2 linked regions of the Schizosaccharomyces pombe genome follow. Changing the gene in region 1 together with any one later gene gives a genetic interaction. Each region holds a gene or a part of one and is shown on either strand. Other genes may lie near its edges.

Region 1 (8,074 bases):
CCTTTTTGAACTGAGGTTCTTTCATACTGAATGGCTCCATGTTCAATATTGAAGGGCGTACGCTCAACTCTAAAAACTGCTTCGGAGACACTCTATGCGATATCGGTAAAAATTTATGATTTCTTGAGTCGTGAATACCTAAGACGCGAACTCGAATTTTATCACCTTTATGAAATCTTTTAAGTGGTTTATTGGGATCAACAATCTCTCCAAAATTATCAAAAACCTCAGAAACATCAACACGGCCATGCACATTAGCAGCTAAATCAACATTAAGCTGAGAAGCTTTAGCAGATGTAACAACAGCCCAGGTAATTTTTCCTGCAACGTAGTCATACGTCTTTTTAATAGTTTCATCGACTGGATTGTCGATATCGTACTTGCTTTCCATAAATTCCACAGCTTTCTCCTGTTTCTGCGCAAGAGGCTTAAATGACATAAACGCCTTTTCTTGTGAAAGCTCTACGGACAAACACACACAGGTAACGGATTGCTGGGGTTTATAGACTGCTGAAGGGACTGGCACATACTCTTCAGATATATAGGCCTTTGGAACTAATGCTACTAAACCGTCACAAAACTCGACAAAAACGCCAAATGTAGTCGCATTACGCACGAATCCAAAATATTTAATACCTTCTTTAAGATCAGTGATATTGATGGGCATCCGATTTTCCTTGGCAGCTTCAACAAGGCTTTTCTTCAATGACAAGGAAATCAACTTTTTACTGGTGTCTTTACGAAGAACTAAGACCTCAGCAAGCTTGGTAGAAGCTCTTAATTTATTCATGACTTTAGAGCATTTATTTAAATCTCCATCGCAAAGTTGGCCAAGGGTAATCACACCAGTAACCTTGTCTCCTAAATCAACGATCACGGAATCTTCGGTTTTCTGAAGAACAATACCTGAAAGTACGGAACCCGCTTTTATGTTTTCAAATCTTTCAAGTCTTTTAGCATCCCAACTCTGCTCACGACAGCCGACACGCATTTTACGATTCTCTGGATCACAACTGACGATAGTAACAGAAAGTGTTTGCCCAACTTTAAAGTGTTCTCTAGCATCACGAATGTAAGCTTCGCTCATTTCCGAAACGGGAAGAAAAGCACGGACACTGTTGTAAAACTCAACTATAGCTCCATCTTCAAAAATACGAGCAAGAGTTCCAACTGTTTGTGTTCCTGGGGTAGCTTGTTCATAGTCATATATCAATGGCAAATCTGTGTTAAGTAATGATTTTTTGAGAGTTAAGAGGACACGCTTTCGTAGAACATTCGTACTTAAAACACGGCATTTTACGGAAGAGCCAACTTTAAAACGACGTTCAGGAAACTGTAGGGCTATGTCAGCCATATGGGTAGAGGGAACTAAACCATTTATACCTTCCGAAATAGTTACCACGATTCCTTGAGGTATAAGCTTCGCAATGGTACCATCGACAAATTGACCGACTTCGATATCCTCTATTCGCAAAAACTGCTGGTTTAATACAGATTGTTGAAATGACAAGATATATAAATTATCAACATAACTGTAATTAATGATTCGAGCCTCGTGGGTGCTATCAACTTTATAGGGGCCAGAATTGGGACTAATTCCAGCAACCTTTTTATCGGAAAGGCGTGAAATGTGAGCAAATCCGGATATCTCAGGTACACCAACATCGCAAAAAACGCCAAGTGAGGAGGATACATACGTAACCTTAGCAGCATTGACGATAAAACCAATATCTAGTTGATCGGGATGTGGAGTATTGGGAGTTGCGAAGTTGAAGGTAAGCACGTGAGGTAAGAAAGATACTGCAATTTTAGGGGGATCACCGGGAATCACAAAAAGAACGCGAGCAGGAACAGATTTAGCAAGCTGGAATTTATCTTCTAAATCTTCCCCTTTCACGGGAGAAGAATGATAAATATCACTAGTGACATCTACTACACCCATATATTTTGCAATAACTCCGCTTTCCTTGATGTCCGTTACCAAAACATTTATATAGTCACCAGGAAGAATAGCTTGTACAGAAGGCATAACCTCAAGCGCCTTAGTGGATGTCGCAGTGAGAGAAAGATGGAAAATTCGATCTTCTTTTGAAATAACGGAACACAATAAACTTTGGCCTTCAACAAAAGGGAAATCATTTATGTGTTTTTTGGATAAAAAACCAGTATAATTATTAATACCAATATCAAAAACAATACCATGATCTTCAATACTTGAAACCACGGCCTGTATCATCGACCCAGCAACAAAATCCGCAGCCTCAGGAGCAGAACCGTTCGCATCTTGCGGCTTAAGACTTAGCTCGATGTGTCTTTTTCCGGTTTTTGTAGTATTTTCCGAGCCAAGGGCTGTAACAGAAACACGCACCCATTGACCAACTTTGTACAAATCCATCAAATCCGGTATTTGATTAAGACCGTCTTCCTCTTCAGTTGCTGCATTATCTTCTGCATGATTGTCAATACTATCCAGACGATCAGAAAGCTTATCGGAGATATTTGTGATAGGTACATAACCTGTCAAACAGTTTGGTAATGAGACGGCCAAGTCCAACGTATTTATTTGAGCAATTTGACCTAAAATTAAAGAGCCGGGTGTGATATTTTTATATCTTAAGCTTTGAATATGAACCTTCAAATTTTCTTCGTTGTCCAATTCGGATTTGGAAGATTTTTTACTACCCTTTTTCTTAGGACGAGTTTTTTTACTCAATTCAGCGGTACCAGAAGCGGACTCCATAAAGTCCTTCTTAGCCTCTAAAACAGCTTCTTTATACTCTAAAGGAGTCAATGAAGACGCCCCACCTCGAGGGAAATCTTGAGTTGCCTCGTTAGCACTCAAAGAAGAAATTCTCTCATTCCCTTGGGAATCCGAGCCTTCGGAGGCATTGCTCCTCTTTCTTTTATTTCCAGCCATTTACTTCTATGAACTTCTGAAAAGAAAGAACGACTGGAAGAAAGAAGCTTTTTATACAAAGTAGTTGGTAGCGAGTAAATTTATGCTGCTGCTACAAAAGAAATAGTCTAGGAAGGGTAACGCATCATGAGAATTTCTTTTAACGATGAATATTGTACTACGCAATAATATGAGAGTTGAGGAACTTAAAAAAGGTGCACAAACAATATATGCGATTGTACATGGCAAAAAACAGAAAAACTTACAAATTGATCATTTAATTTAATTTTTTTTCTTCTTAATTTTTTTTATCTTAGTTATTCGCACTGCATACACTATTAATTTCATAATGAATAATGCAAATGCCAGAATGCTTGTTGGTACAAGCAAATGAAACGATAAATCTAAATTTACGAAGCTTGGGGATGTTTATTTTTTTTCTTTGATTAATTTTTGTAGCAATGAAACAAAATTAGGAACAGCGCGGTTGTAAGTTTATTACGCCGGACATTTCCATGATACATAGGATGAAAAAATTGGCTATTACAATAGAAATACAATATTTATCACAGGTACAAAAAGAATTTTGCGTAAACCCTTGTTTTTAGCGCTTACCAGTTGAAATGGCATCGATAGTGAATGTCAAAAACCTTCTCCTCAATCTAAATGTTGACCGTCGAAAAGGTTATTTCCGAATTTCCTTTGAAATATTAATTTTTACCTCCATTATTTCTTTTCGTTACTTATAGCATTCAAGGGTTCAAAATTGTCTTGTAAGTTTTTATACCCTCTTCTATTTATTATTGTTCGCAGCAATTTTTTTAAGCTCTCGTTAGTTAGATTAGTGTTTCGTTTACAATTTTAACCCTACCCTACCCGAATGAATGTTTTGTTTACACTTTGGCAGGTTACAATAGCAGTGGACATGAAAATGAAATGAGGAATTGCACTCTGTAATTGTAAGTATATGCTTGAAGCTCATATAGAATATGATAATAAATTCAAAGCATCTTTATAGCTCAAGTATCTTGATTTGAAATCAAGGACCGAGAAATTGTTACATTTTGTTTCTTTCGTTTATTGTTCGATAATTTTTGTTGTAAAAAACGAAATGAGGCTCACTTAATTCTTTCCTGTATTGGGTAAAAAAAATTTTTGTATGAAATTGATAAAATAAATTTATTTCTTCAGTGAAATTGATTCAATGTTCCATAAATTGTATATTGAATGTATTGCTCATAAAATTCACGCAAAAAAATATAAATAAAAAAGAAACAAAGCAAACTGATAAAAATAATAAACGGATGATTCTTCAACATTAACGAAGTCTTTCTCCTGTTTGTTGTCATTTATATTACGGTTAACAGCCATATGTACTGTGTCAACAAATGACATTTTCTCTAAGCAAACAACTTTAAACCACTGTACTTTTGAAAAAAAAGTTAGCAATTAGTATTTTATAGGAAAGGAAAAAAAATTGAAACAATGATGAGCAATTCTCGTAAGGGACAACATGACAATACAATATAAAACAATTTTTTCTAACATGTAGAAATTTCAAAGCTTTTTAGCTCTATCTCTAACAAGGAAAATTCGAATGAAAATGCTTTAAAAGAAAGCACGAATAAACAATTAAACAATGCCAATACTTTAGCAATAACCCATTTGAAGGAACAACTTTCGAGAGAGGTTCAACGAAGAGAAGAGTTGGAAGGATTGCTTGAGCAAAGTCAGAAAGAAATGGAAGATTTATCGGTTTCACTGTTCACTGAAGCAAACGAAATGGTGGCCAAGGCAAGGCAGGATACAGAAGTATTAAAAAGAGAATTGGACTATCTCAGGGCAAAAGAAAAAGGACGTATTGGGAAACTAAGAAGCATCCAAACTGCTGTCCGAACTTCAATCGAAGCCAGAAAATTACTGAGTTATTCTAACGAATCAAATTACCACTGATTACATTAAGTCTTTAATAAATGTGCCGTTTACGATGGATTTGACATAAATATTAAACTTTAAAATGAATGATTTAAATGTTAAGACAAAAAAAAAATAAATCCTCTGCGAAAAGAAAGACATAGAAAAATAACACACATTAAGCAAGTCCAATTGTAGGTAGAATAAAGATAAGCATGCAAGTGGTATAATAAAGCAAGCATGACAAAAGAAAATAAAAAGCTTGATTAGACCTATTAGCATCCAGTAAACGAGCAATTATTTTCTGACTTTTTCTACTCAGTTGAAGAGGATTCCAACTCGCTAGACTTTATTTTTGCTTTTTGTTCAGAAACAGCGCTCCAATTGATGCATTTTTCAGGTCCATACTGCTCTTCGAGCCACTCATTGGTTTTCTTGAAATGGTGGCATTCAAAAAAGCCACGATGTGCAGAGAGAGGGCTAGGATGGACACTTCTAAGTACATAGTGTGCTTTCAAAGGAAGACCTTGAAGTCGCTTAGCTGCTGGAGTTCCCCATGCTAAAATTACAAGACCCTTGCGATTCCGATTCAACGCAACTTGCAGGACAGCAGAAGTGAAAGTTTCCCAACCCTTGCCAGAATGAGAAGCAGCTTGATGGGCTCTTACAGTTAAACTAGCGTTGAGCATTAAAATGCCTTGGTCAGCCCAAGGAACTAAATACCTGCTTCATTAGCAAAAAGCCAAATCTTAGAAAGAAAAAATATAAAGACTAAATAATTTTAACGTACCCTGTTTTCGGAATAACAAAATCAGGATAATCGATCTTGATGGCTTTATATATGTTGACCAAACTTGGTGGACATGGAATTCCTGGACGTACGGAAAAGCAAAGACCATGGGCTTGACCAATGTTATGGTAAGGATCTTGTCCTAAGAGAATGACCTTGGTTTTATGAAGTGGAGTATGATGTGACCATGAGTAGATATCTTCTTTCGGCGGGAATACACGTTGGCTTTGCCATTCCTTCATCAAAAACTCTTTCAGATTCAAAAAATATGGCTTTAAAAATTCATCTTTTAACGCATCAAACCAAGAACTCTCCAAAGTATCAATTTCTAGTCTAAATAGGTTAACAACCTTTTCCAATTTTCTAGCCTACATTGTAAGCAATACTTACTGTAACAGCTTTCTTTGAGCAGGAGTAAGATTTTCTGCCCATTTTTCTTTATTGAACTTTGAGACAGAGTTGTTCTCTTTATTATCAAGTACCTGAGTATCCTTTAAAGCAGGCGATGAGGTGTTTGTCTTAAAAAAATTATCCAAACGTGGCTGCTTTAATTTCCCGTCAAGTTTATTAACGGTATCATCAGCTTTACGCTTATCTGTAGTATTCAGAACAGTCATTTTACCTAACTTATTAGAAAACAGCTCTCTGCTCCATAAACATACTGTCCACCGAATCGTTGCAGAGAACAGGCTTTCATGTATGATAATTAGAAGTGTTCGTACTACACACTTGACACTACCACGATAATGAGACTAAATTGATGTTTATTTCTTATCGGTTATTTATTTGAGAAATATTATTGATCATAAACTGTATTATAAAACGATTGCTTCAAGCCAAAACCTAAGATATGGACGAAGCCAAAGAGACGGTATTTACGAAACCTCAAAATCATTCAAGCACCCTTGAATTCTATGATTTTGTTACAACATTATTGGAACCGTTATCAAGAATTGGAAAGACTAGGAAATCCAAAACATCAAACCTTGACCCTTATGAATTAAAGCGCAAAATCCTCTTGGATTACTTTAATAAATGGCGACAACATGTAGGACCAGATCTTTATCCATTACTTCGACTAAGTAATTTAATATTTGTATTTTATTCCTTATACTAACTAATGGAGTGCTTCCTGATGTACGACTTAAAATTGTTAGACCACTAAATCGCATTACATAAAGTGTCTTAATCGGTGTCTTGAATTTCTAATTGCTAATTTTCTAGTTGGATCGTGAAAGAGGATCATATGGGTTCAAGGAATTTGGGCTTGGAAAACTGTTTATTCGAGTAAGTAATTAAGTTGCAACATCAGTGACTAATTAACAAGGCTATGCATTTGAGTCCTACTTCTGAAGATGCAAAATCTTTGAAAAATTGGAGAGGATCCGAGTCCAAACATACTGGAGATTTTTCTACCATGTTGCAGGGTGTGTTCATCATAGTTTTTGTATTCCAATTGATCCTGATCATATTTTAACTGAAAAAAATTTAGATATTTTACAAAGAAGGGCATACAGGACCTTTCCTGGTGCCTTTACAGTTGGTGATGTCAACGCCCTGCTGGATCAATTAGCAGATGCTTCTTCTGAGTATGTTCTAAATTTTTTACCGTATCTAACCTTAATAAGGGATACCCGAGTTAATATTTTGGAGCAATTTTATAGATCCTTGAGTCCTCTTGAGCTTCGATGGCTAATTCCCATTTTACTGAAAGGTTGGTTGGAAATGATATTTCTTTATTTATGACCTAACTTTTTTATTTCTTTAGTTCGAAAATACGGAACATCGGAAAAATTCATACTTTCTGTGTTCCATCCTGATGCAGCTCGATTATATCGACTGTGTAGCTCCTTAAAGAGAATTTGTTGGGAGCTCTATGATCCTAGTCGGTCTCTTGATGAAACTGAAACAGATGTGGAAGTCTTTAGTTGCTTCCAGCCTCAGCTAGCCAATTTCAAAAAAAAGGATCTCCATCAAACGCTGGAAGCCATGGGAAATAAACCGTTTTGGATTGAAGAAAAGCTAGACGGGGAGCGTATTCAATTACACATGAGTTCAGGAAAATTCCAATTCTATAGTCGAAATGCCAGGTCGTACACTTATGCCTATGGCTCTAGTTATTTCGATGAACAATCTAGGCTGACACAATACATCATTGGAGCATTTGACAAACGTATTTCACAAATTATTCTTGATGGAGAAATGGTTACATGGGATCCAGTGTTGGAAACAGTGATCCCATACGGAAGTTTAAGAAGCATTTTTGAAGATTCTTCCTCTCATTCATCCTACAGCCCTTATTACGTTGTGTTCGATATTTTGTATCTTAATGGGAAGTCTTTGGTAAAGTACTCATTAGAATCAAGAAGACGAATATTAGAGAAAGTAATTGTTCGCGAATCTCATCGTATGAGTATTCTACCTTACAAGGTCGGCAGTACTATTGAAGATATTGAAGCAGAGTTACGGAATGT
Region 2 (6,080 bases), on another chromosome or scaffold:
TCTTGATGGAGACGAAAATGATAACGCAGAGGCTGAGACTAAAGAAAAGATGGACGAGTTGCAGGCCCGGTGTGAAAAAGAGCAGCAGTCATTGTTGGCAGAGCTAGATGATTTTTTTTATTGGATTTATGTAAACTTGCTCCCGAAACCTCTTTTTTACTTGCTTTCGCGGCTTTGGTTTGGCTTGTTGGAGACATTTCGAGATATTTTAGTGCCTCCAGTCACAGATTCTACCCTAAGGAGAATTCCGTTGAATAAGCGTGAACTCAAAATGGTCTATTCGTGGTTACAATTGTTTTACGATTTTTTTCGGAATTTTCAAGATATTGCGCCATTTGATTTTTTGAATACCGATGAGTACAAAAGTGTGATGGCTATTAAAGACTATTATTTTGTAAAGTCTAAGGATGTCAAAAGAGTGAGTAGTTAGTTAACTACGGTAATGATGGAGACTTCTATTAATGTTTATTAATTTACTGAACGATACTTTTAATTTAATGAGCACAGTTGCTAATTTATTTTATATATATACAAATATGTATGTCATACGTCTATCATAAAGTCGCGTGTATTAGTTGCTAGGCTGAAATTATTTATTAAGCAGCTAGCTTATAACACTGCATTGTACACAAGAATAATGCTGAAAGCTAAAAATTAAGTTATGCTTACGATGATTACGCATTTTCTACAAAAATGAAACACACCATACAACCATAACAACAGGTTACAACAAAAGTCATAAATACATTTCTATGTAAACAAAAACAGATTTTTTTTAACGTAAAGCATACACATAACCGCACAGCCTTTAGAACGTCCAAACCATAAAAGCAAGTTATAATCATACATAAACATAACAAATGCCTTTAAGTCCCTTAGATAAGACACAAACATTAACCCTTGACTCAATGTCAGAGGCAATAGGAGATTAAAGTCGAATAATTACCAAAGGAACGGGAAAGGATTCCAAAAATTGCCATGAAGTTCAGGTAATGTTGGAATGCGGACATTGTGTACTTCGTCAGATTGCATCATTATATAACACAAATGGGAATACCTATAATAGATATACGTGGGCCATATGTTTTAACTCATTAAAGTCGGTGGTATAACTAGCCTCAACTAGTAGAATTAGTCATTTAGTTGACTTCTTTGTGCTTGCCATGTTCACGATGGGGAATGATTTTTCCGTCAGTCAAAATTTTAGTGACAACATCAACGTCCTTGCTAGTACCAAAGGTATTCTCAAGTTCTTGTTTGGAAGCAGTAATTAATTGACCTTCGTTACCTTTGTTGTTGCTAGTTGTAAAAACTTGAAAAGAGTCGACGATCTCAGTTAAGGGAACAGTCTTGTCCTTGCGCCATCTCATGACATCGGGACCGTTTGAGGCGATGATAATAAAGGTAGTATCCTCAGGTTGGTAACAAACACGGGTTTGGTTGGCCTTAGAGCTAGACATTTTGGAAGTATTGATAAATATATTAATAGACGGTTGGACAATGCAAAAAAATAAAATTTAATAGTCTTGTGAAAAGAGAGAACAAACTATAGAATTATCCAAATACAAACAAACAATTCTTATTTTTGTGTGAAACGATGCTCAACTAGGTTGGGAAAGGAAGTCCTTTTATAGTATTAGATTTGGGTGGAATAAATGCATTTTCCATCAATATGTCTAAACGTAAGTCTCTAACAGCGTCATAACATATTTACATCATTACTATGGGAAGCGAATAATGACATCAGGCGATATGTTTGTTTACCGTGTGTTAAATCCTTACAGTAAAATAATTAACGCACGATAGCACCTTTTGTCCTACACTACTTCATTACTCTCTCTGGTGCCCGACTTTTGTTTAGAGATGGTTTAGTGTGAAGTTAAGAAAAAAATGTTTCCCCTATATATTCAATCTCTTGGAAGATAAATAAAGGAGTAGTTTTTATTCAGTATTACACTTCATTTTTTCCTTTGATACGCTCACAAATCAATCTCTTTACACATGTAGCTTAAGAGGTGTCAATACCTACCTCTTTAATATGATAGTCAGTGTACATACTATTCTCATAACATTATCGCTAAAGAGTATACTGGAAAAACAAAACATCGTTATTTACAATAACACATTAGAAAGCCGGTGCGCAATCAACACTTAGTGACGTTGTAAACAATACGCAATCATCTGTTTAGTGATTTCACTCACGCAATGGCCCACGTCAGTAAGAGTTTGAAAGAGATGGATAATGGAGTACGTGACTGTTTGACTTTTTTCATGATCGAAACTTCTCGGCGATCTTTTGTTTACATTTTGGAAAATATCTTTTATCATTATGAAGAAAGGAAATTGGCTTATTTTGAATTCGGCTTTTTCTTAGTTTAAGGTTATTGTACTTTTAATTGCTGATTTGTTTCTTATGTACTTTATTCGACGACGTTGACACATCTGTTGGCTGATTCCACTATAATGACTTGACGCTACAGGCATTGTAACGATTAAAGTAGGTTAATGTTTGTCAGAGACATCTCATCCTATCTAAACATTTCGTATTTAGTCTGCTCATTTGGTTAACCTTTTACTGTACTTAGTATTTGACCGTTACACATTCGCTTTTCTCACGTGCTTTGGTTTTTGAGATGTTTGCAACGCACGCAACTTCAAATATCTTTATCTTTGACATTCATTATTATTAAGAGTTAATCGATACAATAAATAAAACTTTGAATGATATTATGGAATTCCGACGTGTGGAAATTTCTCCATCTTTGGCAGATACACGTCTACTGCTCTACAGTTGAAGGGAAATCACTTCGAAAAGGGTTTTCTGCCTCAAATCCTGACCGGGTAACCCCACATGCATTAAAGAATTCGTGCTGAAGAGCTGTTTTGGCCTTTACTCGTTTCGATGCTAGATAATTGTTAGCCATTCAATTTTTAATTAATTCCTGCCATGTTGTTTTATACAACTGGAGTTTGGAAATCAAGATACTAGTTTCAGAGTGGATAGCCCCAGGCTTCGTTAAAAAACCTAAAAAGCATCATAAAAGAAGACAATCCATGAATGAAACAATAAAAAAAAGGCCATTTCGGTTCGCGTTTTTTTTTGTCATTTAAGAATTTTCCTCCTAGTCCACTTCCTAGTATTTTGTTTTTGGGATTTGCACGTACGATGTAATTCTAATAACTTGTCCAACAAGTCAATGGCTAAAGCCACTTGATAATCTGAGCTTGTCTCTAAAATTAAATTCTCATCATTCTTCGTAATGCTAGCAATTAGGTCTAGCCAATTATGCTTTTGATCTAGTAGAGTCGGAATGTTATCTGACCAAATTTGTCCTGAGAGAAATACAAGTTAGCACCTCAAAAGTTGTCTCAAAAAGATTTGAAGCATTGGTTAGAAAACGATTTCTCTCTTCGTTTTTTCAACTTTTACGCTCAAGTGTTTAATAACTACTTACCATGTAATAATGCGCAGTTTGACATGCCATTTCTTCCAAAGATATGTGCTAATTCTACGATTGCATCGATATCATCTTCACAGCGGAAAAAAGGATATCGATGTGTTAAAAAACACAACAAAATGACTCCCACTGACCACACATCAATTGAGGATGTTTGATTTTGGCATCGAAACAATACCTCAGGCGCTCGAAATCCTCTTGTTCCGGCTCGGTCAGCACGTTTTGTAGGCCTTGGATCATGTAGCAAGTAACCCTCTGGAGGATCTGCTATCGTTTTCTCAAATGGAAAATAATCGTAATATTTTCCTTCTTGCTTCAGTTTTCTCAATTTATCGACACAGCAATTTTCTGTAGGTGCATCTGCCTCTTGCCATTGAGCTAATCCAAAGTCAAGTATGACTCCCCTTTGGGTGTAAGGATTCCAAGCAAAGTTACCTGGTTTGATATCTCGATGAATTATGCCCTTTGCATCTATATGTGCCAACCCTTTCAAGAGGTCTCTTAAGTACGCACCAATTTCTGGAAGAGAATATTTCATATAGAAGTCCCGGAACTCTGCATGTTGTATAAACGGTAGTACAATTAACACTTGATCTTGATGTCTTACAGCAGTTATCATATTTAGTACACAATCACTGCCTCGTAGTTCATGTAGCATCTCAAGTTCAGTTTGGATTCTTGAGGGAAGAACGGTGGCATAAATTCTTTTCAATGCAACAAAATGGTTTTTTGGTCTCTTGGTTTTGTCATGGGGCATCTGATCTTCTATTTGAGATGATATCCAGTAGGAGTTATCGTAGCTATCGAAATGTCTATCCACCGCTTTAAAGACGCTGCTAAAACTTCCTGCTCCTACTAACTTAACCACATGATAGTCTTCTTCAATGGTAGGGAATGCTTGCACCAATTTAGCAATTTCTGGTCGATCTTCTCGATCTACATCACTGGCGTATACACCTGAATTTCCGAAAGGTAATAGCATGGAAAGCATTTCCTGTTTTAATTTTTATTTTAGTCGCCTTTTGTTTGGTAAAGTGCGGGCTGTTAGATGAGGCACAATTTTCATTAATAGTTTGTTTGTTTGTTTACTTCGCCAAACCCAAATATTTCCCTCTAAGCAAAACTTACTTTTTGTTCCCTAAGCTTTGCTATATCGGCCCAAAGCAAATGAAAATGTAAACAAATGATGCCAATGAAGCACTCCAATTTGTTTATACAAATTTTCAATCCATGATCATCATTAAACGGTAGACAGTGTCAAAGTAAATTACTAGACCAGCTAGTAATTTAAATTACATATATTTCCTTTATAAAAAAATTTACTTTAGCTCTATAACTGGTAACATTTAGAGTCCTATTTAGAACGAAAGCATAATTTATCAAAATTTTTTAGTATGTAAACAATAAACAGCACACCTGTCATAACCAATTTTTGAGATTTCTTCAACACTTGGTTGATTCTTTACTAAATTAATTTAATATTATTATTTTTTCTGTTTATTTCTTGTACATTGTTAAAGGTTTTTGTTTATTGTTTACTGCTTACTACTGCAGTTCGTTTCCAACATAATTATATGCTAGACTGTTATAAATAGCTTTTTCTTTCTATACTTTAAGCCATGCGGATACGGCAAACGAATAACCGAAATTTATTTTATTAGTGTAAAGTTATCTGGGTTCTGATGACAGCATTTTCAACTCATATATTTCCACTCTAAAAAGGATTTACTAATTTTTTTTGTTGAATACGATAACAGTATCATTCGAATATATACAATGATATCGCATTAACGAGTACGAGTTAATTTTACACTTCCGTCCCTGGCTGTTGATGTATCTTCCGCAGACAATTGCCGTATCACTGAGTCTATGCTAAAGACATTGTAAGATTCACGTTAGAGAAGACCGTTTTTTTATTTTTTTTAAGCTACAAAGAAAACTTCGGGTTCACAAAATGAAATTCTTTCTAGGATCTGCTTTATTCTTAATCCTTACTTTTATCAATCTTGTTCGGGCTGAATTTGAGTTCATCACTCCTGCTGAAGGTATGTTTTTTATTTAATTTTTAGTATTGTAAAACTGACTTTTGTTTAAGATTCTCGATGGGCTAGAGGATTTACTTATGCTGTCAAATGGAAACAACCCACTGAACAGTTTGTCGAAATTGCTTTGCAATATGCCGACTCCAATAACACATTGATTACGAGCAGTGGTGTTATTCCTTCCAACCAAACTTACTGGATGGTAAAGATAGATAAGAAATGGCTTATGAAGATGGACAACATTACTGCGCGAGTTGTTGCTGTTCCTCAAAATGGTACCGCCAGCACGGTATATGTGGGTCCACAGGTCCTATTAGCGAACACGTTTTACTGGAAGATGGTAGTGGATGTTTCCCCTGCATTTTCTGTAAACCCGATTGACAAGAAACTTGCAATTGGGTTATCCGTTGGTTTATCCTGTTGCATACTGATCGTTCTATTTCTTCATTTTGCAACTAGGAGAGAAAGAAGGATTTTAAAAAACGAGAAAGAGCTGGAAATGTCTTCATATAGAAAGCATTAGCGTTTCTACTTTTCTGCGCCAAAAAATATACTATCTCATTCATCAGAACTGTTTCTA

The links. A genetic interaction does not mean that the proteins touch.
Region 2: mutations in ung1 (region 1) and spo4 together harm fitness more than expected from each alone (negative genetic interaction), as found in Schizosaccharomyces pombe (one large-scale study listed by BioGRID).

The regions. Positions count from the first base shown.
Region 1 is NC_003421.2:601,180-609,253, reverse strand, and holds ung1 (uracil DNA N-glycosylase Ung1), read right to left. Parts: upstream 6,281-8,074; 5' UTR 6,218-6,280; coding exon 5,991-6,217; intron 5,934-5,990; coding exon 5,601-5,933; intron 5,534-5,600; coding exon 5,125-5,533; 3' UTR 4,850-5,124; downstream 1-4,849. Other genes in the region: U3 snoRNP-associated protein Rrp5, read right to left, coding at 1-2,917; protein Spo13, read left to right, coding at 4,382-4,397, 4,449-4,849; DNA repair ligase Lig4, read left to right, coding at 6,451-6,682, 6,727-6,737, 6,825-6,887, 6,928-7,027, 7,093-7,189, 7,229-7,314, 7,369-8,074. UniProt on the Schizosaccharomyces pombe protein: Excises uracil residues from the DNA which can arise as a result of misincorporation of dUMP residues by DNA polymerase or due to deamination of cytosine.
Region 2 is NC_003423.3:3,825,547-3,831,626, reverse strand, and holds spo4 (serine/threonine protein kinase (DDK family) Spo4), read right to left. Parts: upstream 4,450-6,080; coding exon 3,456-4,449; exon of another isoform or gene 3,334-3,455; coding exon 3,166-3,333; exon of another isoform or gene 2,906-3,165; coding exon 2,778-2,905; 3' UTR 2,667-2,777; downstream 1-2,666. Other genes in the region: C2 domain protein Git1, read left to right, coding at 1-430; SBDS family protein Rtc3, read right to left, coding at 1,140-1,460; protein psg1, read left to right, coding at 5,413-5,503, 5,554-6,023. UniProt on the Schizosaccharomyces pombe protein: Required for the initiation of meiosis II and progression through anaphase II.